Linked DNA regions of Struthio camelus. The protein of the gene in region 3 interacts with the protein of the main gene of each other region in a biochemical or structural test. Links are inferred from orthologs where the notes say so. Each region holds a gene or a part of one and is shown on either strand. Other genes may lie near its edges. The genes, in order: CDK1, ABL1, MAPT and TUBB3.

Evidence for each region.
Region 1: of the proteins of MAPT (region 3) and CDK1, one has a biochemical effect on the other in vitro, tested with the Homo sapiens proteins (2 studies listed by BioGRID). The link is inferred for Struthio camelus from reciprocal best matches to the Homo sapiens genes MAPT and CDK1.
Region 2: of the proteins of MAPT (region 3) and ABL1, one has a biochemical effect on the other in vitro, tested with the Homo sapiens proteins (2 studies listed by BioGRID). The link is inferred for Struthio camelus from reciprocal best matches to the Homo sapiens genes MAPT and ABL1.
Region 4: the proteins of MAPT (region 3) and TUBB3 form a complex in vitro, tested with the Homo sapiens proteins (3 studies listed by BioGRID, with this or other methods). The link is inferred for Struthio camelus from reciprocal best matches to the Homo sapiens genes MAPT and TUBB3.

Annotation. Positions count from the first base shown.
Region 1 is NC_090948.1:36,163,749-36,171,685, forward strand, and holds the start of CDK1 (cyclin-dependent kinase 1), read left to right. Parts: upstream 1-4,733; 5' UTR 4,734-5,026; intron 5,027-5,564; exon of another isoform or gene 5,565-5,672; intron 5,673-5,789; coding exon of another isoform or gene 5,790-5,840; exon of another isoform or gene 5,841-5,919; intron 5,920-7,678; 5' UTR 7,679-7,821; intron 7,822-7,937. UniProt on the Homo sapiens protein: Plays a key role in the control of the eukaryotic cell cycle by modulating the centrosome cycle as well as mitotic onset; promotes G2-M transition via association with multiple interphase cyclins.
Region 2 is NC_090961.1:6,300,394-6,307,653, reverse strand, and holds the start of ABL1 (tyrosine-protein kinase ABL1), read left to right. Parts: upstream 1-4,257; 5' UTR 4,258-5,259; coding exon 5,260-5,395; intron 5,396-7,260. UniProt on the Homo sapiens protein: Non-receptor tyrosine-protein kinase that plays a role in many key processes linked to cell growth and survival such as cytoskeleton remodeling in response to extracellular stimuli, cell motility and adhesion, receptor endocytosis, autophagy, DNA damage response and apoptosis.
Region 3 is NC_090966.1:4,566,638-4,573,961, forward strand, and holds the start of MAPT (microtubule-associated protein tau), read right to left. Parts: upstream 3,123-7,324; 5' UTR 3,041-3,122; intron 1-3,040. UniProt on the Homo sapiens protein: Promotes microtubule assembly and stability, and might be involved in the establishment and maintenance of neuronal polarity.
Region 4 is NC_090951.1:1,775,242-1,782,961, reverse strand, and holds the start of TUBB3 (tubulin beta-3 chain), read left to right. Parts: upstream 1-4,527; 5' UTR 4,528-4,554; coding exon 4,555-4,782; intron 4,783-6,566; coding exon 6,567-6,675; intron 6,676-6,802; coding exon 6,803-6,913; intron 6,914-7,251; coding exon 7,252-7,720. Other genes in the region: MC1R (melanocyte-stimulating hormone receptor), read left to right, coding at 2,231-3,175. UniProt on the Homo sapiens protein: Tubulin is the major constituent of microtubules, protein filaments consisting of alpha- and beta-tubulin heterodimers. Microtubules grow by the addition of GTP-tubulin dimers to the microtubule end, where a stabilizing cap forms.

The DNA.
Region 1 (7,937 bases), on a different chromosome or scaffold from region 3:
ACAACTTCAGAAGACTTCCATAACTTTCAAATTCAGAAGGAAAACAGCGAAAGCTGCCGAAAGAGTTTCCTAAGGCTACATAATTTCTCACTGACTGCATAATCGGTGAACTTTACTAAAGCAAGAGGCAGAAATTCTGACCCCGCAAAGAAAAGTAGAACAACTTCTGTTGATTGTTAGGCCAGGATTTTACTCAAATCATTTATAACCTTTCCAGATTTCTACTTTTTCATACTTCTAGTGCTCATTGTCATGGAAGTCAGAGAAACCATATTCCTTTAAAACAAGGAAAAAACCTTAATATAGTAATAGCATCATGCAGGGATCATAAAACTAACCTGCATAAAACAGGTTTAAGTCCCTCTGAAAATGACCTTTACTAGGACTGCTTTAAAAAATACCATCTAAAATAGATGTTTTATCACAGAGGCTTTAAAACCTAAAATTAAGTCTCTGAAAAGTCTCAGTAAGAATCAAGCTCTTATAAGACAGACGCATGTGATCAACTACTCTGTCGTTGAAGGATATTACTTTAGTGATTCCTACAGAAAGAAGCTGTCAGCACAACCTGTTTAAAATAACATGCAGAAGATCAGTGCAAAAGCTTAGCCAGTTTTTGCTGTAGCACTGACACAATAAGGCAGACAGGAAAGTTCCAGCTAATGAACCCTCCGGACTACAGCTACACAGAAGTTCTTTCTTTAGCCTATAACATTTTTAAGTTACAACCAGATAGAATCAGTATCACATACTGATAAAATCATGAGGCAAGTATCAGACAGTACATGGAAACTTTGAGTAATATCTCCTTTTCAGAGCACCACCCTAAGTATGTCCCTAGAGAATAGCTTCCTGAATTTGTTAGGAACTACTTCATTATAAAGAGAGACTAAAGAAAAGATGGTACCTTTTTCTCTGCCACAGATCAGCAGGAACTGAAGTTGTAAGTGGATTAAATAAAACAAATTACAATGTTACTAATTAGCTAATGCTAAATTCATTTTTGTAGGGCGCCACCTTCCCCGAAAGGAAACTGGATGGATTTGTTCAAGATGCTAATAAGACTTGGCAAGATTTTAACAGTATGCAATAACTATGTGAAAAACAAGGTGGCAAAGACTGACATAAACAGTGAAAGCCTCTTAAGAACTTCACCACAATAGTTATTAATGTTTTAATAAAGCAGTTTTCTTTGTTGCCCCCATCTTCTTTACCCACTTTTCTCCTCACATATAATACTTCTTTACATACAGTCATACTTCCTTCCAATGATAACAAAAACATACAGTGCAAGCAACTATCATTTTCCATGTACTTTATGTGGATGTTTATGTAATTTAACTGTTCAGAGTAAAAGCTATTAGCACCAACACCAGGGAGTACATACAAGTTATCAAAGGACTAGTGAAGTTCAAGCATTTCTGATCTCATTTCTCCACTGAAGAGGTGAGAAAAGGGTAAGGAGTCTTTTCTTCATTATTTCCCCACCCTCCAACACCACTGAAAATAGGAATTATCTGCCCAAGAAAGAGAGCAATGTGACTTTTGTTTCATTCCCTATATTTGCCTTCCATTCTTTCTTCCCTGAAAAATTAATCTAAACTAGTTTCATCACATTAAGGAAAAAAAGAGAAGGTTTAAAACTACCTTGAAATATTTATTTTGGAAAAGTCAAACCTCAACATTCTCATTTTTCTTCTCAGACATTTCAGCATCATATGTTACACATCTTAGAATTCAAGCATAAAACAGAAATATTTGCTACTACCCTCATGCCCAAGGTTCTAAGCCTTTTCCATAGGAGCAAAGAATTAGCTAAACGCCATGAGCTGTTTCAAAGTCTTCCTTGGGCCAAGTCCTTGTCAAGCTCCCTTAAAGAGATGAAGGAATTTTGCCCGATTAAAGATTGCAAAACCAAGCTTTTCTCAGAACTAAAGCAACATGCCAGCTCTCATTTTGTCATCCACAGATCCATGCCAAATAACTGTAAGTGCCATTGTCAACAGCTTAGCATGAGATCTAATGTACAGGAGCAATACTCACATTTTAGACAACACACTGGCAAAAACCACCTTTGATGAGTATTCAAACAATAGATTAAATTAACAGTTTTCACACTCTCTGAAGAGCCTGGCACACATGTATCTCAAAATTTATCCCGGAAACCAGAGAACGGTAGAAGAGAATCCCAAAAAACTTTCAGGTAGAAGGAAAAGCAGGATTAAACTGATAAAGACGTAGAAGAGAACCAGAAGGGACAACAGTGACAGAAAACTACCTATGCCAAGCATTTATCTGGAATTGAAACTCAGTCTGGCCTGCAGACTGCAAAGATTTCTTTTTAGCTGCAAAAAGAAAATTGCCCTCAAAGATTCCAATGATTAAACAAATTTAGGGTTTTTTTTCCCCACAGCAACAACATGGTTGTAACTGTGGTCGCACAGATTTGGAAGCTTTAAAATAATAAAATATTTCACTCTTAAGATTGAGAACTTATGTGAGAATTATTCAGCTTTCATATTTGAACAGAGCTGGGGTTTTTCCTGCCCTACACAAGAATAAGATAACCATCTCCTCTCTTTTCCAAAAAGGCATTGGTTTTAAAATTAAATTGCAAACAGTATTTTAAAAAAAACTTTAACTTGCAAAATTTAAGAGCTCCTCCAAGCTTTAGACAATCCACAAACTTACTCAGTACTGTAAACTCCCCAAATATAAACATTACAGGACAGAACAGCACTGTCAGTGACCTACAGGCATAATAAACTTCCTGTTAGATGTTGAATTTTAACAGTATTTGTAATGTTGACACTCAGAACTATAATAAAAGAATTAGAACTAAAAAAGTATATTCTACCCTTCCTGTTCCTTTTTAAAAAATATATACTTCTGAGTAAAATTTTAGAATATATTAAAGTGAAATAAGTAGCAGTCATCCTAATTATTAACAGCTAAGCAGTACAGTAATACAAGAATATTTTTAATTGCAAGCTATTTTCTTTCTCATGCTGTTACAGTATTTCTGACTCACTCTGTAGAGTTTAGAGGTTATCTTGGAGCAAAACTGGAAATAGAGTTTGGAAAAAAGAAAAATACTTATCTACAAGTAAACATGTATGTGAATTGTAAATTATAGCACTAAGATATAACTCACTACCTTAATAAAAGCATATAATTAGCAATAAATTAGGATTTAGAAAAGACAAGCAAGGTGATATTTTTTCCATTAAAAAAGGAAAAAAATTATCGGGCAAGTATCAATAGAACAACGGCATGCAACAGCACAGTATCATTCTGCAACAAAAATCAGGAGATGCACACTAGCAAGTTCTCGTGGAAGGTATTTAGGCAGAGTGAGATTTATGATAGCAGAGACTATTCTCCTAGCAACTCACTAAAAATACCAATGCTATTTCAAAACACATCCCCACTTCTAATGCTGCCCATTAAAAAATTCAAGATCTATACACCTTTAATACCCATTGCGGGGGGGGGGGGGGGGGGGGGGGAAGAGATTAACATTTAAGAACCTGACCTAAAATTATTTTCAATCCAGTGGAAAGTTCTGCTGGCCTTGACAGTGTGGAAGGATGTAAGGCTGCAGAACTAGACCCTGAGGGCAAAGCTGAGACTCCTGAACTGTTCTAAGACTACTCCAAGGCCAAGATGCAACATGTCCAGCTTAGAGACAGAGAACTATCATCTTCTTTAAAAACCTCACTGCTTCAATCCTTTAAATGTAGCCTAGATCATGAACCTTTCAGAATAATAAGTTTGGAAGTTGCCTACTTTGGAAAAATCTGACAAGTCTCATTTAACCTGTATATCCACAAGGCAGATAAAAGAAGTGAAGCAAAAATGTCTTGTGTACTGACAACACAGGAAGTTCTGTCTTCTCATTCTAGGAGCTCTCATTGATGAAGTACAGGGCTCAAAACACGGAAGTCACAAGCAAGGGGAGGAACAGCCTGCCAACCTGGAACTTAACCTTAGAGGACTTCAAGAGGAATGCTTTAGTCTAGCCCACTGCTCCTCTTAGGGCTGTTATTTTATGGTTAATTTTAAAGCATGAACTCCCAAAAGATTTAGAGGGAGAAACATGAAAGACTAACATTCTACAACAAGAGAGAGAACCTCACAGAGCAGATGGGATCCTAAGTGCAGCAAAAGTGCTGTTAAAACCAGGACGGTTTTATGGTTCCAAAAGATACTTTAATCAAAAAAATTAAAACACAGTTTAAAAAAAAAAAGTGGGTGGTGGGGAAGAAAACAGAGTAAGTTTTATGCACCCTTGATTGAACTATAGCTTAAATCTTACAGTTTTCAGTTTTGGTTTCAGAAGCTCTGGGCTTATAGCCTTAAGAAACAAAATTTGCATTTACCACACTTTTTCAATCATTTTAAAACCACATTTTAAAACTGGGAAAAAAGTTATTTAGCTGGTCAGACATTGTGTAACATGCAGAAATGTGTTCTTTCTACTCTAAGGACACTAGTATTTGCAGTTAAAACCAATTATGCCATTTGTGCCCAGCTGGAAGAATGTCAGACCAGCCCACTTCATTGCAATATAAGGCAGTGTTTTTGGGAGTGCAACACACAAAAATGATCACATTCACTACATAAGCTACATACAACCTTGTAGCACAGTGCTTTTATCAGACCCTAGGGCCTGGGTCTAATCACTGAAGAGGATGGATGGACTTGGGAGAAAGAGCCTTCCTGTAATTTCCCATGTAGTTATGGGTGTGTTGAAGCAGAGCCTCCCACAGCACTTCACCTTTCCAAGTGCCAGCTACCACCAGCAGCAACCACAGGAGCTGCCTGTATTTTAACCCTCTTGCTACTGGAGTCCTTTCATATGGTATGCATACCCTTATTCATATTATAGCATCACGATGGCATGGCATAAGCCAGCAGCAGCTTGCCTTGCACTGTCATTCATGAGACAGGTCCTGCTGCTGGCTCTGCAATCAGGCGCTGAGCAAGGAGGAAAACGTCCCAAGGGCAGCTGAGAACATTTCAGGTAAGGGCATCTCCATCCAACAGCCAGGCTACTGTTTTATGACTTACGTGTTGGAAAACCAACAAGAAAAGCAAACTGAATACACTCACTAACTACACACTAACTTGTTAACAGCTCACTGGAGCGCGTTACTCCTAAAAGCATAAATTAGCGTTGCTCTGTTGTTTTAAGCGATCCCAAGGAAAAAGCGAACGCTTAGCAACCTGTAACGCGACCCTGCGAGGCACGACCTGCGCCAGCCGCAGCCCGACGGGCGGCTTCGGCACGGCGCGGGCCGCTGCCAAGGGAGAGGGGGAAAAAAAGTGAGGAAAAGAAAGAAGAGCGGGAAGAGGCAAGGTCCAAGGAGGGGCGTCAGGTTTTACCGACACAGAGGCAGTCGCTCTCGCTCACACCCGGACGCTTAAGAGCGGAGGCAAAAGGCGTCTGCGCCCCGCCGACCCCCGCGGGAGGCGAGCGGCTCCTGTGAGGGACGTTTGAACGCCGCCGCTTCCCTCACACCTGAGCGGCGGCCGTTGGGGGGGGGGGAGGGGCTCCGCGCGCCGCCGCTGAGGGGGAGCCGCTCGCGCCGGCAGCGACCGTTAACGGCCGCAGCGGCGCGAGCCCGGGCGGCGCGCGCGGAGGCGGGAGCGGGCAGGAGAGAAGTGAGGTGAGGAGAGGCGCGGCGCGGCGCAGGAGGGGACCGCCCGCGCCCCCCGCCCGACGGGCCGGCCTGGGCCGCCGTGCTCCAGCGGGCGGGCGGGGGCAGCGAGGGCTGCGCGCTCACCTGGTCTCCGCCGCGCCGTCCCGCGGGGGAGGAGGAGGCGGCGGAGGCCATGTTGCGGCGCGTCCAGGCACTTCTCCCACCTCGCCGGGCCGGGCCGGGCTCGGCTCACCCCGCGGCGGGGCGGGCCTGCCCCTCGCCGCCCCCTCAGGTGGGGCCGGGCCCCGCTCCTCCCGCGGCAGGGGGTGGCCGCCGTCCCGTCCCTGTCCTGGGCCTCCTCACGCCTGGAGCCGGTGCTTTATTACGGAATCAAAACCCCGCCGTTTTCCGCCCAAAGACAAATAGGTGCTGGGGGCACCTGTGGCCGCGGCCCGGCCCCACCTGCGCTGCCGCCCCCTTTCCATCCACAGCTCACTGCTCCTCAGGATGCAGTTTTCGGGGACGGAACTCGAGTTTGCTAAACTTGAAAAATAAATAAATTAGTTAATTATTAATTAATTAAATGGCCTAGCTAGGTGCTAATATATTCCTTACCGCAGTTAAATGGTAGCAGCTGGTTTTCCCACGATGAATACTACAGTGCTGATACGTTAAACCATAATGCAAACTCAGAATGCCTGGGGCTGGGTTGGGTGTTGTGAATCAGTCCGGGTTGGTTTGGTGTTTCGTTTTTGTTTTCAATCAAGGCTGAAGACTATAAAGCCCAAAGCGCCCAAATGAGCTGTGTTGATTAAAATAGCCGTGTTTGTTGTTTGGTGGTGTTTGTGTTTTGTGAATGCCTAGTAAAATATTCTAGAATGGCCTTGCTGAAGTTTTATTGTATCACAGCTTTCAAAATTGCAAGAAGTATTATATAAGGTATTAAGGTTACTTTAGTTTGGAGTTAAATGCCTGTATCCTCTCTTCTGTACTTTTTTTCCCCCCCCTTTCAAAAGCCTCGTTCTGGTACACCAATCTGTTTTTCTCTTTGCGTTAGAACTCAATACCAGAATTAGGAGAGGTTAAAGACAATCCATTTTACCACGCCTTAACTTACCTGGAAACATTGTAGCTAATAGTTTAATTCACTGATTTTCTACTACTGCTGGCCTTGTGGGCACAATGTAGAAAGTGGATACCCAAATGTATAAGCTGACTATAGCTGTTCACGTGTCTTGAAGATAGTGCCTAACTAATTGCTTGTCACTCTCTCTGTAAAGTGCACGCATTGGTTCTTTGTGCATAGAGCCAAAATAAAAGCATTTACCTGGACTGATGATACAGCTATGTCTGATACGGATAAGTTAATTCTCAACTGCTGACTGGGATGGTTTCACTGGTATAGAGTGCAGCACATCCTTGCAAGCATGCTAGTACATCGGATTAAGTATACATCCCAGCCTGGGATAACTGTTGAGGTCTCAGGATTCTTCTTATTTAATTTCTGTCTGTCTCACAAAAAAAAAAACTGTCAGCAGTACTTCTCTTTCTTGAGAACAAGGATCAATTTTCCCTAGAATGTCTTTTTCCCTCTTATTTTGGATGTGACTCATTTCCTCAGCCCACTCAGGGAACTGTGAGGCAGGAGAGGAAATGGGAAGAAAGGATCACAATATCCACATTGGCTAAAAGAAAACATGAAGCAAGGCTGCTCACGTTTACTGATGAGAGAGGTACTATCATTGGCAGTGGCAATTTGCAGCTCTGAGGTGGGGCCACACACTTTTTTATAGTGCCTTGCATACCACTAGCCATCACTGTGTGCCACCTCCCATCACTCTCTGGAAATAAAATGGTGACGGTTAAAATGGAATTTTCAGATTGTAAAAGAAAATAGCACCTTAAGGAAAAGGTTATTTTTACTGTAAGGGAAACGCATATAATATTCCTACTTAAATAATTGATTAGGAGGAGGATTTCTGAACAAATTCAGGTGTGATGTGTACATCTAAATCTTCGGTGCGTTTCCACAGGGTTGCATACTTGGCTTGTCTCATCTGCATTCTCATCTGCAAGAGTACACCTTCATTCTTGGCAGCTGGAATGACACCCTGAGGGAAGAAAAAGAACTTCCTTTACTTCAGGAAAGGTTTCAAGTCAGACTTTGCTGAACGAGGTTTGGAATTTAAATGTGCTGTTGCAGGGCATTTGATCTGACGTAGCATAGTAGCAGGTGGTTGTTATAAGATGGAAAGGGATAAACGGGTAAGGAGTGCAGAGAAAAACTAAGTT
Region 2 (7,260 bases), on a different chromosome or scaffold from region 3:
TTAATGGAAGGTAAACAAAAAAAGCATTGAAACTTCTTTTATGAAATAGATGGGAGGTACCCAGGCCACATGCAAGGCCTTGATTAAAACAATCTGTAACAGTTTTTTTTTTCTAGCCTGGAAATGCAGCTTCTGTGGTCACACAGTCTCTGATCTCTGTCTTCCCTAATAACTTCTGCACCCACTGGGTAACTTCAAGGTTGTAAACCAGTGAATAGAGATAATCCAGTTCACGAAAAAACTGGCAGCAGGATAGAGGACAGAAAATGTATGACCCTTCTGGAAGGAAGGAAGGCAGATATGCTGTGCTGTTGGGAGTGCCCAGCTGGCGGGCCCGTCTGCACATGTGTAGCCCCAGCTTAACTACACCACTGTTTTGGGAAACGGGAAATGCTTTGGGAGCAACTGCTGAGTGGAAAGAGGCTGGGGACTGCTGGCAAAGAACCTGCCCCACTTGGCTTCTTTCTGATTGCAGAGCATCAAAGGAATACCCGACTCCTCCAGCCTTTTTTTCCCTCTCTTGGTAGCAACAAAAAGGACCTCAAATACTGGCTAACAGCTTGAGTTAAAAGGGCTGGTCGTATAGAAGTGAGCTTTTAAGTGAGACAGTCTGAGATTGCTTGTAGTTGAACTTCTGGTTATGGGATTTGCAACTTTCAGATCTGTTGGATCTGTGGTGAGTTATAGCAGTAATAAATTCACCTGTTCTGGTAAATAAAAATAAGTATATTCATCTGTGTAGTATCTCGTGTGGGGCAGGGAGAAGTACATACAGTGTATATTGTCCGGAACAGAAAGCCTGCCTATTTTCAATTACCTTCGTGTATGCCAGTGAGCGTATTTTGGTCAAAGCCTTCTGAGTATCGTGGACCTCTGGTAGTCGTCAGGAGCTCACTCTGCTTCAGTCCTGCTAGCTGATATGAGAGATTATGGATGCTCCAGTAAGACCCAGAAGGGAATAACTTTTTCAGTAAAGGATGGTTTGTATTAACTAGTCTGTCAACTCAGGCTGAGCAATTTGAGAGAGATTTGTTACCAGTCAGTCTCATTTCCTGAGTTTCCTTCACCCAATGGGAACACCCGGAGTCTGTTTTGGAGTGGAAGTTAGATCATAGCAGTGAGGAGCTGCTCTCCATTACTGAGATAAACTGGAGAAATTCGGCTGAGTTTGAGTTTGAGACTCTGGGTTTGTCTCAGCGTAACGTACCAGAATTTCTCTCTTGCATGTTTGTAACGCAAACAGCCTCAGTTCCTGGAACCTGAGTTACTGATGGGAGAACGCAATATAAATGGTTTGGGATCAGTGTCCTGGCTAAGAATTAGTGACATAGGAGAAGAATGGTGCAGCAGAAGTGGAGGATCCCTTAGGCCTGAATGAAGTGCTACCTTTTAAGTGCTGTAATTGGAAGATGAACAATCCATGTCTGCTAGGGACCTCAAACATGCTATAGGAGAAATGGAACATGTTTGAATTTGTCATAAGGGAGGAGTCAGCATAAACAAGCCGGTGCTTTGTCCAGATGGTAACTCTGAGAAGGAAGTTACCGGAGAAACTGCTTTTGTGTGTTCTCCCACTGCCGGCTGGGAGCAAGCACAGACCTTTGACCAAAATACTCCAGCCTCATGCTGCTGCCTCAGCCCTTTTCCATTCCCATCGCAAACTGGATAGAGAAACAAAATACCTTCGGCTTCACGGTATGTACTCCTCAGAGAACGCGCATACTGCACATCTAAGGGCACCATGGTGCAGGCTGAAGAATTTTGAGGTTTAACTTCATCTTGGTATAGAACAGTGCACACATGTAGATAAATCCAATAACATACATTTTTTGGCACATTTCTTGGCCTCTAGGGCTGTTTTCAGTGTCAAGTTTTGCATGTGCTCTGACAGCATTAATAAAGAGATGAGGACCCTAGTGCCAGCAGGATGACTTATCCCTGGTTCTGGAAAAGCTAATATTACAGCTGCCCCTGTAAGGTTCTCTTCATCCCTGTCCCTCTCTGTAAGAAGTCTAGGGTCCAGAACAGGCCAGGGGACTTGAGAGCAATGCACTTGAAGGGGTCTTTGGGGCTTGAGAACCAACCAGCTCTCATTATCAGATCCAGGAGGAAACAACTCAGGTGGCCCTTGCAAAAGGAAAAGGAAGTTGATATGAGTTAAGGGAATACTCTTAACTTTATGCCTCAGTTTAAAGAGTTTGCTTGTGAAGTTAGATTAGCAGATGCCTACCTAGAGGGGAATTATGCATGGAGTGAATTAAGCCCACAAAGAGAAGCTCTCATGGTCTAAGGGTGTCTGTTGCCTTTTTCCTGGCGTAGCTAGGTGGCTTGTTGTTGTCGTTTTTTTTCTTGTGTTCTTGATATTATTGTATTATTGCCTTTGGATGGATTAAAAAAGGTGATTGTGACCGATGCAATTGATGCAGGGTTTTAGATCTCAGTCTGCAAGCTCTTTGTAATTCTGTATGTGAACGTTTTCCTGACAGCTCTTCAACAATGTTTTGTCTCTTAAAAAGAAGAAATCAGCCCATTCTCATACCTAAGGCAGCAGAAAAAGTCCAAGTATGTGTGTATGGCCCTGCGCCTAAAAACAGATGGAAAGCACATATCCTTGCAAAGTTTCCTAGAAGCTGGGTGAGGCAAAGAGCAGGCTAATTCACGTCCCCTCTGGACCTCGCAGTACAGCGCTAATGAGCCAGTGCACAACTGTGTTTAGTGCAGCACGTTATTTGGGGACTGGGTCCCAGAGGCACCGAGCAAACGTGCTGCAGTGCCGCGTGCAGGCCCTGCTGCCTGGCCACCTCCGCTCCTCACCTCCCCCTACCTCTGCCTCGTCCCAGCTCTCGTCTGTCTCCTCCATCCTGACCTTCCTTGTGGTCGCTCCAGCTCACCATCGCTACCGTGATACCCCCCATTCCCAAGTCATCTTCCCCCCGTTTCTCAACACCCTTCATTGCTCTCACCCCTGCAATCCTTTTCTGTCACTCCCATTGCTCTCCTGTCACTGCTGCTCCTACTGCTCCTGCCTCTCCTCCATCTCCCCCCTCACTAAGGATCTCCCTCATGGTTCCTCCTCCCCCCCCCCATTTCCCTCATCCTTCCCCACATTGTCCCCATTTCCGTCATCCTCTGCTTCAAAGAGCCTTTCATGGCTCCTGCCCAGCACTTCCCTCCCCTCTCTTCTCACCAGCCCTGAGCCCGCTTCGTGCCTGCCCCTTGTCTCCCTCATCGCCCCACCCGGGTCCCATGTGGGTGCCCCCGTTTCCCTCCTCCTTCACCTCCCAGCCCCTCCCTCCCCTTCACCCTCATCCTCCCCTCGGGGCTGCCCTCCCTCCCAGTTTCCCCTATCCTCCCCTCCGTTTCTCTCACGGCTCCCCCCGTTCCCCTCAGCTCCCCCTGCCCAGACCCCACCTGGGTCCCCCATTTCCTTCATGGCGCTGCCCCCGAGACACCTCCATGTCCCCGCTTCCCTCACGGCTTCCCGCCTCGGGGCTCCCCCCCTCCCCTGGACCCCCCCACTTCCCTCGGGGCTCCCCCCACACACCCCCCATTTCCCTCGGAGCTTCCCCCCCCTCCCCCGGACCCCCATTTCCCTCGGGGCTCCCCCCCCACACCCCCCATTTCCCTCGGAGCTTCCCCCCCCCTCCCCCGGATCCCCATTTCCCTCGGGACTCCCCCCCTCCCCCGGACCCCCCACTTCCCTCAGGGCTCCCCCCACGGACCCCCCATTTCCCTCGGAGCTTCCCCCCACCCCCTCCCCCGGACCCCCATTTCCCTCGGGGCTCCCCCCCTCCCCCGGACCCCCCATTTCCCTCGGGGCTCCCCCCCGGACCCCTATTTCACCCCCCCCCCCCGCCGGGGCTCGGCAGGTTGCCATCACGGCGGCGGCGGCGGCGGGCGCGGTGCCCTGACGGGGCCGAGGCCGGGACCGGGCAGCGGCCGCGCCGGGCCGGGCGGGAGGCGGAGGCGGAGGAGGAGGAGGGGCCGGAAGGGGATGTGACCGCCCGCCCGCCCGCCGGCCGGGGACGGGGCCGCGGCGCGCCGGGGGTTCCGGGATCTCCCTCGCCGCCTGCGGCCGCCTCTGCCCGCCCGCGTCGCTCGGTGCCCCCGGCGGCAGCCTCCTTCGCTGGGGCCCCCCCACCTGGCCGCAGCCCTTTGTCCCCCGTCCTGTCAACGCCCGGCCCGGCCCCCCCGAGGCGGGTCGGGGTCGGGCGGCGGCGGCGGCCCGACCCGCTGCTCCCGGCCGGCCCCTCCTGCGCGTCCAGCCGCGGCGGGGCCGGGCTCGGCCCGCTGGCGCTCGCCGCCGCGGCCTTCCCCGCCGCCGGCCTCCCCCGCTGGGATGAAGCCAGCGCAGTCACCCCCGCTTGACCTCTGCTGGCTGCTGTGCAGAAACCTTCCTCCCGGAGAGCATCCCTGGGCTCATGCCTCTTCCCGGCCACCGGCACCCGGCTCCCGCTGAGCCCTGAGGGCCGAGGCCGCCGCACCGGGGCGGCCTTGCCCGCCCCCCGCCCCGCTTGGGCCTTGGCGCGCTCGAGGCGTCGCTTCGGAGTCCGCCATGGCGCCGCGGTGCCCGCTCGGCCGCTCGACGCCCGCCGGCGCGCGGGAGAGGTAGCGGCGGGAAGAGCGGGCGACGGCGGAGGGCGAAAGCTCCGCGGGGCCCGTGCGGAGAGAGCGCGCGCGCGGATCCCTGAGGACTGAGCCGGCCTGCGCTTTTGTGTCGAAGCCTGACATGATTTGGATGTCCTGGAGCCTGCTGGACTTCAACGGTACTTGAAGCCAGAGACGTGGCTTTTGGGGGCCTTTGCTCGCTCAATGCTATGCAAAAGAAAAGGAGGAAAAAAAAAAAGAAACCTTGACCCTGGTTGCAGTGGGAATGACCGTTTCCTGCCCTGGGTGAGCCTAGATGCGATTTCTTGTTTGTAAGATGAACTAATTCTCCTTTGCCCGGCGGAAGACGCATTGCATATGGTAACGTAAGACTTTGACGCTTGTTGTAGTTACTAAGCAATTGGAACTTTTAACTTGTTGTTTTGCATAAAGCCACCTAAAGAGCCTTGTTGCTGCCTCCAGACGCGTTGCAAGAGTCCGCGAGCTTGTCTTAATTCTTCGCCTCAAGTGACTTTATTACACGGTGAGCGCAACCAGCATACCCACCTAAAATACGTTTCCCTTCCGAGCTCCGTCCCAACCTGGAAGATCAGGGATCACAGACTTCTTCAAAAACTTCTCGTCCTGGGGAAGGCTGCCCATAGTTGCTTTATGGGGCAGCAGCCTGGAAAAGTCCTTGGGGACCAAAGGAGGCCAAGTCTGCCTGCCCTGCACTTCATCAAAGGAGCAGGGAAGAAGGAATCATCTAGGCATGGGGGCCCGCACTGTAACGTCTTTGTGGAACACGGTAAGGAGTTTCTCTTGGCTTATGTCTGGCCTGCCCAGTTAGATGCAATATTGTTTATTAAATTGCTTCCTACAGATATAAAGAGGCTGTACCGTATGGAAGTCTTCTGTTTTCTTTCTTGCTTCTTGATGCAAATCCTGCCTAATCGTGTAGTAAGAAAATGCTTAACTTGTGTCAGATTGCTTGAAACTTAAGGAGAGGTTGTTATACAGCTGAGTAGTAAATACAAGGAAATAACTTGTTTTTAACATCATACAGGTTTCTCATTTCTGCCTTAGATATGTTCTTATTTAAAATCTGGGAAAGTGGGGTTTTTTTTTGTTTTGTTTTGTTTTGTTTTTTGTACAGACCAACCACAGGTGCTGGTGATGCTGTTGCCATTGACAGGTTTTCTAATTGTCTTTAAAGGGTCTCAGCTACCTGAAAATAAAATACCTTCCTTTGGAGAGTTTGTGGAAGTTGCAATTGTGACACCTGATGGGAATCAAACAGTTTCTTGTTAATTTGCTTAGTGCATTTACAGCGTTTTTGGTTAGTGGTTTCTCCTCAAGCCAGCTAGGCCTTGATCTTGTGCTGTGATGAGATTAAGTGCAAGAGTGAATATGTTAGGGGTTTAGCAACCTCTTCGCTTGCTGGTCTTCCACAAAGTAAAAGGGGACTGAGAAAGTCAGGAAAGAAACTAAATGAAAAACTCAGTAGGACTCAGAGGTGGGTTTAGCATCTATTTCAGATTATTTTTTTCCTTCTTTCTTTTTTTTTTTTTTTTTAAAATAAATGACTGAGTAGTTTTCAAGCTTATGGTAGCCGTTTTCAAAGGTCAGACACAGTAAAGTGTTGTTTTGCTGAAACTTCTGGAGTAATCCTTGTTTTTGCATAATGCGTTTTCAGTTCTGATGTTCTTGGAGCAGACATGCCGCTGGCCGCTATCTTAGGCGAGCGAATATGATTTTGACAAAGCTTGTTCAACAGTTCTCTCCTCCTAAGAAAGTTTGAGCACAAAACCAAGCTGCATCTATAATCTTTATCCAATTAAAAATTGAAAAATTTGCAGCGTCTGAGGACACAATCTAACTGCTAAGTGGAAAAATATTTATTTAGTTTTATTTTAGATAGGCTTTGTTTTGAAACTTTCTCATCCTGAGTTTCTGAGTCACCAAGAAATTCTGTGCAATAGTTAGCAAAGATACAGACAGAGATGCTGTGTACGTACTGCTGAGTTTCAAGTTACATATTGTTTCAAGTTACATTAATGTTATTTCTTCTCATTTCCTGTGCAGTGTTTGTGCACTGAGGTTATTTGGAAATTGGAGGTAATTAATGGAAAGATGGAGAATATAAGGGCTAACTTGGCACTCTGATAAAAATCCTGCTGCAGAAATTTTCCAGGGCATGCTTTCAGTACTGAAATATACCCACTCCTCCACCCCCAGTTTGGTTGCTGCTTTACTACTTAGGACAGAGTTTCAAGGTCAGATGAGACGCAGTGCACTTAACTGCAAGCAACACAATATTCTAACTACCTTCAGTGTTTTGATGTGGCAGCAGAGCCAGAAATGGTCCTTTTTGATCATCTAGCAGGAATAGGCAGATGGTAACTTCTTGCCAGTATGACCTGAGGTCAGAACATCCTAGCACATTTGCAAAGAAAAATAGCATCTGTAATGTCCATATACCATATGTCCACAAGAGACCTCAGTGTCTTGATTTTGAAAAGAATAAACTTGAAAGGGGACATCAAGGCTGATACATCTGTTAAGAGAACTGCAAAAGATCAGCCTCGCTTATCCACATGAGGAAAACTTATTCCGTTGACTATACGAAATGGTTCTTCGTATAGTACAGGCAGTAGAAGGCTGTACCACCGT
Region 3 (7,324 bases):
AAGTGAGAGCAAGAGCTGCAGCACTGCTTTTTCAGGACAGTTTAAGTAAGGCTTGCTTGGATGAGCTGGGTCCTGCTGAAATTGCAGTTTATTAAGCACAGAGGGAGGAGGACTGTTTAGGCAAAGGGCCTTGGAAAGGAAGAGGCTGGAAGCAGAGGGCAGCAAGGCTATCTGAGACCACAGGAGGAACTGACACAGAAGATTAAATTAGAAGCATGATCTGAAAATACTTAAAGCAGCATTTTAAAAAGAGTAAATGAGGCTTTTAAAAAGCCCATGTTTTTGCTGTGTATATGTGCAGAGCCAGATCTGCATTCCTGGGCTACAGCCCCAACAAGCAGCACTCATCACCTGCATCTTCACCTGCAGGACTGGTACCTGTCTCCTCTTTGTGACACTTTTGGCCTCATCCCAGCTAATCTAGCCTTGATGAAGTAGAAACATCCTTATCTGTGATGCCATCTGCCCCACAAGGTGGAGATTTATCTGCTGAGAACTGCAGGTCTGTTTCCTTCTGGAATAGCTAAAAGTGCTCTCCACCCAGGAGAGCAAAATATCATCTCAATGCACCTGGAGAGCATGTCAGCTGGGACCTTTGCAACAAGTTCACCTGAAAGCCTGCAGACCACCAACAAGCTGTTCCAGAGCCGGGCTGAACAAACAGCCCAGAGAGGGGCACAGAGTCTTCATTAAAGGCTTCAAACAATGACAAGCACACTTCACACTTTGTCATTAAATCAGATATACCTGTTTTAGTCCAAGTTTCTCAGGGTTCAGCTTCTCGCCATTAGATCTTGCAATAAACTGAGCTCATTGATATTTCATTTTAAGCTCTGCCTGTTCAGGACTTAACCGTTCTACAATCCTGTTATATTGCAAAAAAGCCTTATGGAAGAAGATGGAGTCTCAAACGACCAAGGCCATGGTACCTCTGAAAGAGAAGTCATGTTGTCCTTGAGCACAAGAGCTGGGTCTCAAACAAAAAAAAAAAAACACAAACACACAAAATAAAAAAAAAACTAAACTACATCCCACCTGCATCTTAATTCCAAAGGCTTAAAGCCTTAATTTCCAAGGACGTTCAGCAGCATGAGGTACTTCTGTTAACAACTGGGGACTGCACAGGGAAGCATGCCAAAGCCATACCTCCTTCCAAATATCATTACTCTATCAAGACCAAGGAGGAGGAAATCCAGGGGAATAATTCACACCTGATACAAAATACTGAAAAGCCTCAACCTTACTTTTCTCCTTACATGTGCAGTCAGGAGGAAGGAAAAAAAAAAAAAAAGCATTTCACACATCACAATGGAACAAAGCATAACTGGGTTAGATTATTTCCCATTCTTAGAAGAAATGGCACTTTAACATTCCCTCTCTCAAGAGCAGCCTGTAAATATCCAACTGAGAATTGACAAGCCTGTTTTCATTGTCCACCTTGAGAAAAAACACACACACAAAATGAGCTGCATACGGTAAACCACTAGATTAAACATCCCAAATCTGAGACACTGGCAACAAAGGTAGAAAACCTTCACAGAGGGCAGCCATTGCTTGGCAGAACAAATCAGTGTTTCTCAGTAGTGAATTTTGTCCCATTCATTCAGACACGCTTTAGACATCTGCCTAGATCCACACAGATAAATGCAGGGCAACTAAGAAATACGTTGCATGCAAATTGCTGAAGTGACAGCTTAGCTCATCTCAGCTGCTCCTTCCAGCGAGCCAGTTTCCAAGCAAGACCAGCCTCGCGCTGCAAATGGAGCTGCACCTCGCGTGGTGCTACTGCAAGCAAATGGAAGGAGAAACTCCCTCTAGAGCGATGGCAGCTGCCCTCTCCCAACCACCAGCAGGACTGCTTTTCGAGGTGTTAATAACCATCTTCCCAGCTGAATCCTCCCTTACACTAGCACAGCAGACAAAACGCAGGCAGAGATCTCCATCCCTCACCTGAAGTAAGCCCTTATCGCTCTTAACGGGCTTAATTGCTCAAAGCCAGGAGGGCAGGTGTGCCACGCATCGCGCCTGGAAATACCTGCCGAGAAAACTTCCCTTTCCCCCCTGTGAAGTTAAGACTTAAAACAAAGAGATGCCCAGCAGTTAAAGGGGAAAAAAATACCCCTCTCACAAGGCAAACCCCGGGAAGGGGGCCAGCCTCGCGCCCCGGCCGGAGCGGTTTTGGGCACGGAGGGCACGCGCAGCAGGGGGGAGCGCTCCTGCCCCAAACCCGCCGGGGTGGGCACCAGCATCCCCAGCCCGGCTGAAAAAAAAGCCCACCTTTGAGTAGCGTTAAAACCCACCTTAGGCGAGCGTATCGTTAACGTTTTCCCCTCTGCATCTGGGGCGATGCAACAAAGCAAGGCAACTCCGGGGCACCGTGACCTCAATAGCGCGTGGCACCCCCAATTTTTAGGCTAAACAGGGGCAGCTCTGATTTCTGACACACCTTCTCCTCACGGTTTTGGTTTTTTTTTTTTAATTACTATTATTTTAATTACAGCTGGTCCCTGCCTCCCAGGAGGGCGGCTACAGAAGATGGCACCGCGCAGCCCACCCCTCCTGCCGCAGCCCCGCCGGCACAGCCCCCCAGCCCCACCTGCCGCAGGGAACGGGGGGCAAAAAACGCCAAAAAGGAGGGAAAGGGGGAAATCATAATTCAAAAAAAGCCCCCCCCCTCCCCCGGCCGCCCCCCACGCCGCCGCGCACCTGCAGCCGGGCGGCAGCGCTGCCGCAGGGGCCGCCCCTCGCACTGCTGCAGCGGGCAGGCTGCAAGGGGGCGGCCCCCTCGGATAACCGGGCCCGGTAACGGGAGGGAGAGGGGACACGCCCCTCCGCGATTTTTTAATTTTTTTTTTGGGGGGGCCCTCAAACGGGTTCCCCACCCCCGCCCGTTTTCTGCGTTTTAGCACGGGGACAGCGAAACGCGCGGCTGCCCGAGCGGAGAGCGGCGGCCAGCCGCGCAGCACCTTTCCTCCCCCCAAATATACCCTCCCCGGCCCCGAAGGCTCCCTCCGCCGGTCGGGGGCCCGGTGCCGCCTACCTGCCGCTGCAGGAGAGTCCGCACCGGAGCCGCGCGGCGAGTGACAGCGGCGGCGCGGGCGGGGCGGGGCGGCGCGAGCCGGGGGCGGGGCGGGGGGCGCGCGCGAGCTCCGGAACCTTCGCCGAGCCGGGGGGGGGGGTGGTGGGGGGTGGAGAGGGAGGCAGGGCGCATGCGCCGAGTGGCGCTCACCCCCCCCCACACACACACACAGAGAGCCCCTCCGCCAGCGCTCAGGCCGGCGCATGCGCGGTGAGAGGTTGGAAGGGGGAGGGAGGGGCCAGCGCCGTCTTTTGTCTGCGGGAAGCGGGGGCGCGCCTCGCCCCGCCCACAGGGGGCGCCCGCGCGCTCTCCTCCCCCCCCCCAACCGCCATTTTACGCCGGTGGCCGCCTCAGCCCCTTCCCGCGCTGCCGCCTCCCCCGGACACCACCTCGGGGCAGGGCGGGGGGGACCCACACCTGTGGGAAGGGGCCGACAGGTGACACGTTACCCCACCTCCTGCCCCCAGGTGATGCAAGGAGCTTCGGGGCTGCCCCACCATCCAATGCAGCCCCACCTGAAGGGGCAACTCATGCTCCCCGCTGCTCCCAGAAGATCCCCCTCCACCTGCGAGGGCAGCCAGGCGCTCCAGAGGCTTATGGACACAGCAGAGATCCCACCATGGCCTTCCTGCCTTGCGTTACACGGTTACTATGCTTGGTAATTGGATTTAGTGGAGAAACTGCAGGAGGGATCCCTTGTCAGACAGGCTCAAGGTTTCGTTTTTTCCCCCGGGCATCATTCAGGTGCAAATCAAGGGCAAGCGTCTGATCTAAGGACAGGCTTCTGACACAGGTCAGGAAGGGAAAAGCAGCACAAGAGAGAGAAAGAGAAACAGATGTGGAGCCTGCAGCACCAGAGGTTTAAAGCATACTAGACAACTACTGGTTGGGAATGGTCCATCTCGTTTTGGAACAAAGGTCTCAAGGTGTCTCATAGCCCTATGGAGAGCCAGAGCCCTTATGTGTTACAGCAGCGTTAATACCTGCACGAGTACTGTCAAATGATGAACAGTGAGCGAGGTGGAGATCTGGATTTCTGAACATGCGGCCATGAGGTGGTTTTATCAGGTCAGTAGAAAGGGGCGAGACATAAAAACCTTTTTTTCCCCTGTCCATTTTTAACTGGCTTAAGAATGCCATGAATTGACATTATGCTGTAAATTGGTTGGAGAATTTCCCCAAGGTAAATACATGTTCTGTGAGAAATATCACCGCTTTGGGAACTGTAAAATGAAGTAAGCTATGAGGGGATCCATCCTTGTGAGACAACATAAAACAAGCTGAATTTGAACTTACAGTGCAAGCAGCTAGAGTCCAATTGTGGAACAGCAGCTCTTCCTACAGGCGGTACAGATGTACCAGGAACACAAGACTGACTGCACTGGCAATCAGCTGCTCAGCTGCTCCTCCTCTAATATGACCATTTCTTCTTTTGAGGAGGGCAAAAACCAGAAGACACTCCCTGCCTTAACGTCCCAACACAAGTTATTCTGGATAATCAAATCTGGACTTCTTGAAGCCCTCTCAATCAAAGCTCACATTCGCCTGCCTGACTTTGCTTGGGTCACCAAGCACCGAGTCCCTTTTGGATCCAAGAAGTCACAGACTGGCAAGTATCATTAGCCAGTCCCAACCAATGTACAGGCACATCACTCTCACCACATTATGGCCATGTAGAAGATCTGCCAGCAAAGGCTAGCCAAGAGTAAGATGCATCAGCTGGTGGCTTACAGTACTGCCAGCCTGGAGGAACACAACAGCAACGACTCCCCCATAGTTCAGTCCTCCAGGACTGCTGTTGTACAGCCAAGCACCTTCCTGCCCTTAAGCCTAGTGGTACAGCACTTGGAAATAAAAAGATGCTAAGAGCACCATAAGCAGGACTGGCTACAGAAGGGCACCATGAGCACAGACTTGCTGTTTAACACTGTGTTCAGAGAAGCAGGACCCCATGGATATTCTTGGTAAACAAGATTACTGCAAAGAAATAATCAAATCTACACCCATATTTTCCTCCTTACTAACACCCTGCAGGGCCTCAGCGTTGGCTGAATGTCCATGTCACAAAGAGGTAGCAATTGGGAGAAGAATCCCTTGTTCGGGTGTCCTGACTCCCCACATCACACATGCTAGCTCGCTGCAAATCCACCTCTTTGATGTGAAACCCCACCGCGCAGCAAGGTCTGCATTTTGTACTACGTCTCAGGTCGGTGCCCAGCAAACCTCCATCTCCACTCCTTGCACCACAGAGGCGCACCCCGTTCTGCATGGCATGGGCGCAGGTTGCTGCTGCAGCAATACTGAGATGTTACGGGAACTGCTGGAGCAGCGCGAGTCCTGAAGCGCTGCTCAGCGCTCTGAGCCCCAAGTGGAATGAGCTCACAGTAATTGCCAGGGCTTCTCACCCAGCCAACAGGAACTGCAGAGAAACACTGTAGCCATTTCTTACCTGTACGCACAGCAGGCTGACAGCTAAAGTAGACATTAATTACTGCATGGAGCTGTTCTGGCTACTTCTTGTTTATAGGGTATTTTTGCAAGGAAAGAGAAGTTTCTCCTGCAACTTTAAACTTGCTCCAGGCTCCTTCTTTCTTCCCTTTAGGCTTGGACTACTGCTAGCTGGAAACAAGCTACTATGTTTTCCTTTAAAATGTGATGCTTAGCAACTTTGCATTAGACTTGTAGCTTCCATAGCTGTTTCTTCATCCACAAAACAGGGCTCATCTTCCTTGCAGGTGAGTTTTGCAACTTGTTTCAGAACTGCCTCAAGGTTTCCTATGACAGGTGCTACGAAAGCCAAGACATGATTTCTCAGGCCTTGCCTGGAGTGGGAATTGACCTGCAGAACTGCAGCTGTGTGACAATTGCTGGGTTATAAGGGTTTTAAGACTAACATCCCCAAGGCCTTGTTTGTCTTCAAACTGCTTCATTTCAGTCACTTAATTCAGATTAAGGGTGGCCTTTGCAAAACCATAATGAGCCTAGCTGAAATAAATACTCAAATTCTGCACTAGCTTAACTCCATTACAATACCCACGCCTTTTGCAACTTGGCCATTAAAGTTCACCTAAGCAAAGAAAATGGGTTAATCGCTTTCCAAATGGTTTGTAGCAAGGAGACAGGATTGATGTTTCTGAAACAATTCCAGATGCTATCGCCTGCTCATAAACCACAAGATGATCCCTTCCTAAACAAGGAAGCCCCAGGCAGACACAGGCCCCAGACTTGCTTCCCAGGACACAGCCACTAACGCGCACATGGCACCAGACCAGGGGGCCAGCAAGGTTTCAGGAGGGCTCGCTGGGCTTTGAAGCCTCACCATGGAGATCTCAGCAGGGAACTGGGCATTACACAAGCAGCTTTCCCAGCCGTGCCTGTATGCTGTTAGCAACTGCAGGAAAGCGGGCATTACCCAGGCCGGCTCTGAGCAGAGCCAAACAAAGCTGTCGCCTTCTGCAAACCTTTCCCAGCAGCTCCAGGCACGAGGGGGGATTAGAGCACAGCTGGCTCCGTTCCCCACACATATTTGCTACATACATATTTTGCAGTTCTCTCCAAGCAAAATCAGCTTACATTTCATTTTCACAGACAGGCAAAATGGAGCACGATACCCCTCTGTAAACCCCGCTGAGGCCAGTGGGGCTGCAAAGACAGAAATCAGAGAAACACCCGCGGCATTGCAATGGTGCAGGCAGCAAGCAGGCCGTGACTCAGCAGAAAGAGCCAGCCGGCAAGGTCCTCTCCTCTAGGAACAGCACTGAGCACCAGGAAAGCAAATTTATCACTTTCCTTCCGATCACTTTTGCAAGTGGAGAGACTTGACAAATTGAGGTTAACCTCTTGGGGACCAGAGACCAGGTAATACCCTTACACTCACCTCTGTGTTTCCCTGCACCCCAGCTGAAAAAAGATTATACCTTTTTCTTCTCAGCTGACTAATGTGGAAGGCATGCAGAGCCCAACACCTACCAACAGAAGACAAGACCCAATACCCCTAAGTTTTTTTTTTTTGGTAAGTTAACCCCTTTTCATTTTGAAACTTTCTGCTACAAGGGACATTCCAGATCATGTAAAGCTTGTGTACCCGTAATGGGCTGAGTTGTCTGGTAACTGGTTAAGGAGTTACCGAAAGCATTGACTTGTTACGTGCATGAATTTATCCTGTGAACTGAAGCCATGAACTTGAAGCTTACACTCACTTGGACTTGGTATCACAGGAGGGCAGTGAGCGTTTGGGGAGAACTC
Region 4 (7,720 bases), on a different chromosome or scaffold from region 3:
CAGACTGGGCATTTTATGGCTTTGCACTCAAAAGCTCTGTTGATAAAGCTGAAATTCATTGCACGAATCGGTGCACTGGTTAGCTGGGCAGCAGCCAAGAAGGGAAGACAGTGCCTGTTGGTCTGGCCTCCTCGTGTGCAGGTTTCCCTGCCAGCCTGGGCTGTTTGCTCCCTAAGGAGACCTACTGGTGGGAGGTGTTGGGGACACCATCTTCGCAGGGGGCTGGTGCTGAGCACAGCTGGACTCCCCTCAGCACCTGGGGCGCCTCGGAGAGCCGGGCTCAGCTGCCTGGGCTCATGCTTGCGGGCTTCCCTCTCCTCAGCATTGCCGTGGAGGGGGAGCAGGTCTCGGAGCTGGCCTTGCCCCTGCGGCCGCGGGTGCGAAGGTGGCTCTAGCCGGGCAGCGGCTGCCGCCTCCAGCAGCCCGGCGGCAGGGTGAGCGCGCACCGGCCCGGGCTCAACGGGCAGCTCTTGTCCCCAGAGCACTAGACACAATTCCTGATCCATCCCTGCCGCGCTGACTTAGGAGCCGCTCGGGGTGAGGACGGGCCCTTCCCCGTGCGGTCGCCCGGCCTGCACAGAGGTGCTTTCATCAGCGGCGGGGCCGCCCCGAGCAGGGGCCCTCGGCAGCCTGAGGGAAGCAGCCGGAAGCGGCCGGTGGGAATGGCAGCGGGACCGGCCTTCTCATGCTGATGTGACCGGCTCTTTGGCAGCTGCGCAGCTCTAGGCATCAACACGGAGCAGAAGGCACATGACGGTCAGATGGGCCCCGCGCCTCCCCAGCCCGCCGCGGCGCTGGCGGGGGGAGCCGAGGCCCCTGCGCGGCTCCGGGGCCGGCTGCTCCGAGCGGCGCCGGGCGGCTCTGCAGGCAGCGACCGGGGAGCCGGCCAGGGCCCGGGACTCTGTTTAGTCCGTTCACTGGCTGGGCTTGGCGTTTGCGAGGCACCGTGGTGCATCTCGTCCCCCTGCCCGGAGCAGCTTCTGGTGCCCCGTGTCGGCTGCGTGCGGAGCCGGGCCGGCCGTGGTGGGGATGCTCCAGCAGCACTGGGGTGGTGGGACCAGCAGCCGGTTTCTTCTCCCAGAGAAAATGGAGCCTTTGAAGATCCCTATTAGACCCTGTCACCTGCCCCGCGGCGCGCCACCCGCCTTCCCCGCGTGCTGCTGTGGCCACTGGTGCCCTTGCTGGAGCCCTGGGGCCTGCGAGCACCCCAGCAGGGCTGAGGCGGTGCTCCGCAGCCCCAGGGACGTCGTGGCGGTCTGCAGGGGCCAGACCGACCGCAGCTGGCTCTGCGGTGGGATGTGGCTCCGAGCAAACCCAGAGCCGTGGGCAAGCTCTGCCCTTTGCACCGGACTGGGAGGAGCCGCTCTGCTCCTGCAGCGGGAGGCCGCACGGCCCCCTGGGCTCCCCGGGGTGCACGGACTCCCCAGGGCACACCAGTCCCCCAGGGCACAGGGGTGCATGGGGACCCCAGGGTGCACGGGAGACCCCAGGGTGCATGGGATCTGCTCAAGGTGCATAGGAGACCCCAGGGTGCACGGGAGACTCCAGGGTGCACAGGAGACCCCAGGGTGCATAGGGGACCCTCAAGGTGCATAGGGGACCCCAGGGTGCACGGGAGACCTCAGGGTGCATGGGAGACCCCAGGGTGTACAGGCAACCTCAGGGTGCATAGGGGACCCCAGGGTGCACAGGAGACCCCAGGATGCATGGGGATCCCAGGATGCATGGGATCCCCTCAGGGTGCCTAGGGGACCCCAGGGTGCACAGGAAGCCCCCCGGCCCCCCAGGATCGCAGGGCGCACAGGACAGCACTGTGGGTCCGGCAGCCACAGGCTCCGCGCGGCTGCCCTCACTGCTGGGGTGCAGAGCTGTCATGTGCGTGCCCACCCTCCACGGAGGAGGGGCTGAGGGAGCCGGCTTTAAAATAGGGCAGAGAAAGGGTCCTTTCTTCCCCATAACTCCCGCTAATCCACCACTGTGGACCAGGGAGGAGCGTGGCTGCAAGGGGAGCCGGGGAAGCCTGGGGACGTGAGCGGCTGCAGAAACCAGGGGTGCGGAGCGGCCACCAGGCGAGCGGGCCACCTCTGGCACCGCGTGCCCATCGGGACCCCGGGGCGGCAGGAGGCGCGAGTGTCGCTTCCCTCTGCCCAAAGCCGTCGCAGGAGAGGCGCCCGCGGGGCCTGTGCCTCGCGCCGGGGTCGAGGGCGCGCGCGGGCCGGTGGCGGGCGCGATGTCGACGCTGGCCCCGCTGCGCCTGCTCCGCGAGCCCTGGAACGCCAGCGAGGGCAACCAGAGCAACGCCACGGCCGGGGCCGGCGGTGCCGGCTGCCAGGGGCTCGACATCCCCAATGAGCTCTTCCTCACGCTGGGCCTGGTGAGCCTGGTGGAGAACGTGCTGGTGGTCGCCGCCATCCTCAAGAACAGGAACCTGCACTCGCCCATGTACTACTTCATCTGCTGCCTGGCCGTCTCCGACATGCTGGTGAGCGTCAGCAACCTGGTGGAGACGCTCTTCATGCTGCTCATGGAGCACGGCGTGCTGGTGATCCGCGCCACCATCGTCCGCCACATGGACAATGTCATCGACATGCTCATCTGCAGCTCCGTCGTGTCCTCCCTCTCCTTCCTGGGGGTCATCGCTGTGGACCGCTACATCACCATCTTCTACGCCCTGCGCTACCACAGCATCATGACGCTGCAGCGGGCCGTGGTCACCATAGCCAGCGTCTGGCTGGCCAGCACTGTCTCCAGCACCATCTTCATCACCTACTACCGCAGCAACGCCATCCTCCTCTGCCTCATCGGCTTCTTCCTCTTCATGCTGGTGCTCATGCTGGTGCTCTACATCCACATGTTCACCCTGGCCCGCCACCACCTCCGCAGCATCTCCAGCCAGCAGAAGAAACCCACTGTCTACCGCACCAGCAGCCTCAAGGGTGCTGTGACCCTCACCATCCTGCTGGGTGTCTTCTTCATCTGCTGGGGGCCCTTCTTCTTCCACCTCATCCTCATCGTCACCTGCCCCACCAACCCCTTCTGCACGTGCTTCTTCAGCTACTTCAACCTCTTCCTCATCCTCATCATTTGCAACTCTGTGGTGGACCCCCTCATCTACGCCTTCCGGAGCCGGGAGCTCCGGCGGACGCTGCGGGAGGTGGTGCTGTGCTCCTGGTAGCGAGCGGGACGCGGGCTGCGCGCAGGTAACGGCACGGCCCGGCGGGGACGGGCTGCGGGGCCCGGCCCCCCCCGGCCCGGCCCAGGCTGCGCCCAGTGCCGCGGGGGCCCCGCGCCGCCCGGCCGCGCGGTACCACCCAGCTGAATAAAGGCTCTTTGCATTGATGCTGTGGCTGGCACCGCGCCGTGCGCAGCCCCGCTGCCGCCCCTCGCCCGGCCCTGCGGCCCCCCGGCTTTGTGGGGCGGGGAGGGGGGGGCAGCAGGTCCAGCACCTGCCTGCTCTGGGGACTGGGATGGACTGGGAGCCGCTGGGGGCAGGCGTGCGTGCCGACGGCGGAGCCGGCGTCTCCCCAGCCCCGATGACGGATCCGTGGGGCGGCCGCCGCGTGTCGCTGCTCGGCTGCCGCATCCCCGTGCGCCCGGGCACCGGCAGCAGCCGTGGGGCTGCTCTGCATGGGGCAGCGGGGTGAGGCCACGGCGCTCAGCACCCCCCCCCGCAGCGGGCGCTGGGGGGCTGCAGCCCCCCGGGCTCCTCGCCGGGCCCAGGCGTCCTCGGCCGCCGCCGCACAAAGGGAGGCCCCTCGCCGCCGCCAGCCTTTGTTGCGGCACCGCCGCCGTGGCTCCCCGCGTCCCCCCGCTGCCCCGGCTGGGGGGTCCTGCAGGGCTGCGGCTGTGTTGGGAGCCCTGGGTGTCCGGGGGGGGGATGCCCCCCATCTCCCCCCGTGGTGTGGGGCGGGATCCCCCCCCGTGGGGTCCCGGCCCCTCCCCACGTCTGCAGGGGGGTCCCAGCCCCCCCCCAGTATGTGGGTGGTGTCTGGGTCTCCCTTTCTCTCCCCCCCCCTCCACGCCGGGATGTCCCCGCTCCCCCCACTCCGGGCGTGCAGGTGGGCTCTGTCCCTGCCGTGGGTGTCCCCCAGCCCCACGGGTGTCCGGGCCGGGGCCCCCTCCCCTCCCCCACACCGCAGGGAGCTGGGCTGGGGTCTGCCCCTCCCCCACAACGAGTGTCTGCGGGTGACACCCCCCCCGTGGGTGCGGGTGGGGGTGGGGGGTGTCCACGAGCGCCGGGTCCCCCCTGCCGCCGCCGGGCTGGGCCGGGCCGGGCCGGGACAATCCCAGCCGGGCCGGGCCGGGCCGATCCGTTCCCGGCCGTGCCGAGCCGATCCGTGCCGGGTCATCCGGGCCCATCCATTGCTGGCCGATCCGTGCCGGCCGGTCCGGACCGATTCGGTCCGGTTCGGTCCGGTCCTTGCCGTGTCGAGCCGTGCCGGTCCGGTTCGGTCCGGTCCGTGCCGTGTGCCGTGCCGGTCCGGTCCGTGTGCCGGTCCGGTCCGTGTGCCGGTCCGGTCCGGGGCGGGGCGGGGCGGGCGCGGTGCTGCAGGGATGCTGCAGCGCGCTGCGGCGGCGGCGGCCGCCGATTGGCTGCGGCGCGGGGGTGACGTCAGCGGCCGGCCCGGTGCGGCGCGCGGCGCCTATAAAGGCGGCGGCGGCGGCGGTGCCGCCCCCCGCGCTGCCGGTACCGCTCCGCGCCCGCCCGCCCGTCCCGGCCCGACCATGAGGGAGATCGTCCACATCCAGGCGGGCCAGTGCGGCAACCAGATCGGGGCCAAGGTAACGCCCGCCACCGGGCACCGCCACCGGGCACCGGCACCGGGCGCTGCGCCGGCCCCGCCCCGGCTCTGCGGAGGGCAGCGGCGGACAAAGGCTCCCCCCCTCCCCCCTCCCCGCCCCGCCGCACCGGGCAGAACAAAGGGCCCCGCCCCGCTCCTTTGTCCGCCGCGGCGCGGGGGAGGGGAGGGCGGGGGCCGCCGCCTGCCGCAGCCCCGCCGCCGCCACCGGGTACCGGGCACCGGGCGGCGCCCCCGGTCCCGGCCCGGCCGGCGAGCACGAAGGCGGCGGCGGCGGCGGTGTGGCCGGGGCGGTGCCGGTGCCGCCGGGGCCGCCGCGAGCGGCGCTTCAGCACCGCGGCCAGCGCCCACCCGCCCCGAGGCGGCGGGGAGGGGCCGGGGGCGCTGTCCCCGGTGCTCGGGGTGACACCGCCACCCCCCCCCCACCCAGCCCGGACCTCCCCGGTTCTCCCGGGGTGACCCCCCCCCGGGGGTGACACTGCCACCTCCCCCACCCCAGACCTCCCGGGGTGACCCCCCCCCGGGGGTGACACTGCCACCTCCCCCACCCCAGACCTCCCGGGGTGACCCCCCCCCGGGGGTGACACTGCCACCTCCCCCACCCCAGACCTCCCGGGGTGACCCCCCCCGGGGGTGCCACTGCCACCCCACCCCAGACCTCCCGGGGTGACCCCCCCCGGGGGTGCCACTGCCACCCCCACCCCGGACCTCCCCGGTTCTCCTGGGGTGACCCCCCCCCCGGGGGTACCACTGCCACCCCCCTCCACCCCGAACCTCCCCGGTTCTCCCGGGGTGACCCCCCCCCCGGGGGTACCACTGCCACCCCCCTCCACCCCAGACCTCCCGGGGTGACCCCTCCCGAGTGACACTGCCACCCCCCCCACCCCGGACCTCCCCGTTCTCCTGGGGTGACCCCCCCCCCCCCGGGTACCACTGCCACCCCCCTCCACCCCAGACCTCCCGGGGTGACCCCCCCCCGGGGGTGACACCACCAACCCCCCCCACCCTGGACCTCCCTGTTCCCCCCCCTGGGGTGACACTGCCACCCCCCTGGATCTCCCTGTTCTCCTGGCATGACCCCCCCCATCCCCCTGGTCCCCTGGGGGTGACACTGCCACCCCCCCTGGACCTCCTGATTTTCCTGGTGTGATCCCCCACCTCCCCCAGTCCCCCGAGGTAACACTGCTAGCCCCCCCCGGACCTCCCTGTTCTCCTGGTGTGGCCCCCCCCCCGGGGTGACACTGCCACCCCTGCCAGACCTCCTGGTTTTCCCGTCGTGACTCCCCCCCCACACACCCCTCTCAGTCCTCAGGGTGACACCATCACCCCCCCAGGCCTCCCTGTTCTCCTGATGTGACCCCCCCGGTGCTCAGGGTGACACTGCCACCCCCCCGGACCTCCTGGTTCTCCTGATGTGACCCCCCCCCACCTCCCCTGGTCCCCTGGGGTGTGGCACTCCCAGTACTGGGTCTCCCCCCCACCACGATGCAGAGCCTGCCCCCCCCCGTGCCAGGCCCCCAGGGTGCTCTCCTGCCTCTGTGGCACCCTTGGGTCCTGTCCTGCCCCCCCCCATGGTGCAGAGGCCCCCTCCCCCCCCCGCAAAGGGTAGGATCACCCCTGGGTCCTGTCCTGTCCCCCCCCCCCCAACGGTGCAGAGACCCCCTGCCATGCTGGCACCAGGCACCCCGAGCTGGGGCTGTGCCCCATTGCTGGGGGACACTGCCCCCGAGCGCTGCCCCCTCTGACCCCCCCCCCGTGCCCCCCCAGTTCTGGGAGGTGATCAGCGATGAGCACGGCATAGACCCCAGCGGCAACTACGTGGGCGACTCGGACCTGCAGCTGGAGCGCATCAGCGTCTACTACAATGAGGCCTCCTGTAAGCCCCCGGCGGCGGCGGGCTGGGCAGGGAGGGCGGCGGGGGGTCCCCGGGTGGGGGTCCCCACGGTGCGGTGGGCTCGGGGGCGCAGGGAGGGGGCGGCGGGTCACTCGGCGTCTCTCCGCAGCTCACAAGTATGTGCCTCGCGCCATCCTGGTGGACCTGGAGCCGGGGACGATGGACAGCGTGCGCTCGGGCGCCTTCGGACACCTCTTCCGACCCGACAACTTCATTTTCGGTACGTCCCCCGCGCTAGCACCGGCCGGACCCCAGATGGCTCCCACACCCCATCCTGTGGCGACGCTGGGGTGCCCGGAGCCGTCTCTGGCTGCGTCTCCCCCGCGGCCCCGGCATGCCGGCAGCTCCCTGCCAAGCCTTTGCGGCTTCTACTTCCCACCCCACCCCACCCCTCCGCGCCCAGCTCCAGGCGCCTCTCACCAGCCTCAGATCTCCCTGTCGGATCCCCGGTTGGGTTGGGGCTGCATGCAACCTGCCGTGGGCGCCCACGCGGCCCCGGGCGCTCCGCAGAGACGGGGGGGCTGGAGCGCAGCCAGCACGGCTCGTCTTCTCCCGCAGGCCAGAGCGGGGCCGGGAACAACTGGGCGAAGGGGCACTACACAGAGGGGGCCGAGCTGGTGGACTCCGTCCTGGACGTGGTGCGGAAGGAGTGCGAGAACTGCGACTGCCTGCAGGGCTTCCAGCTGACCCACTCGCTGGGTGGTGGCACCGGCTCGGGCATGGGCACCCTGCTCATCAGCAAGGTGCGCGAGGAGTACCCTGACCGCATCATGAACACTTTCAGCGTGGTACCCTCGCCCAAGGTCTCGGACACGGTGGTGGAGCCCTACAACGCCACGCTCTCCATCCACCAGCTGGTGGAGAACACGGATGAGACCTACTGCATCGACAACGAGGCGCTCTACGACATCTGCTTCCGCACTCTCAAGCTGGCCACTCCCACCTACGGCGACCTCAACCACCTCGTCTCAGCCACAATGAGCGGCGTCACCACCTCCCTCCGCTTCCCCGGGCAGCTCAATGCCGA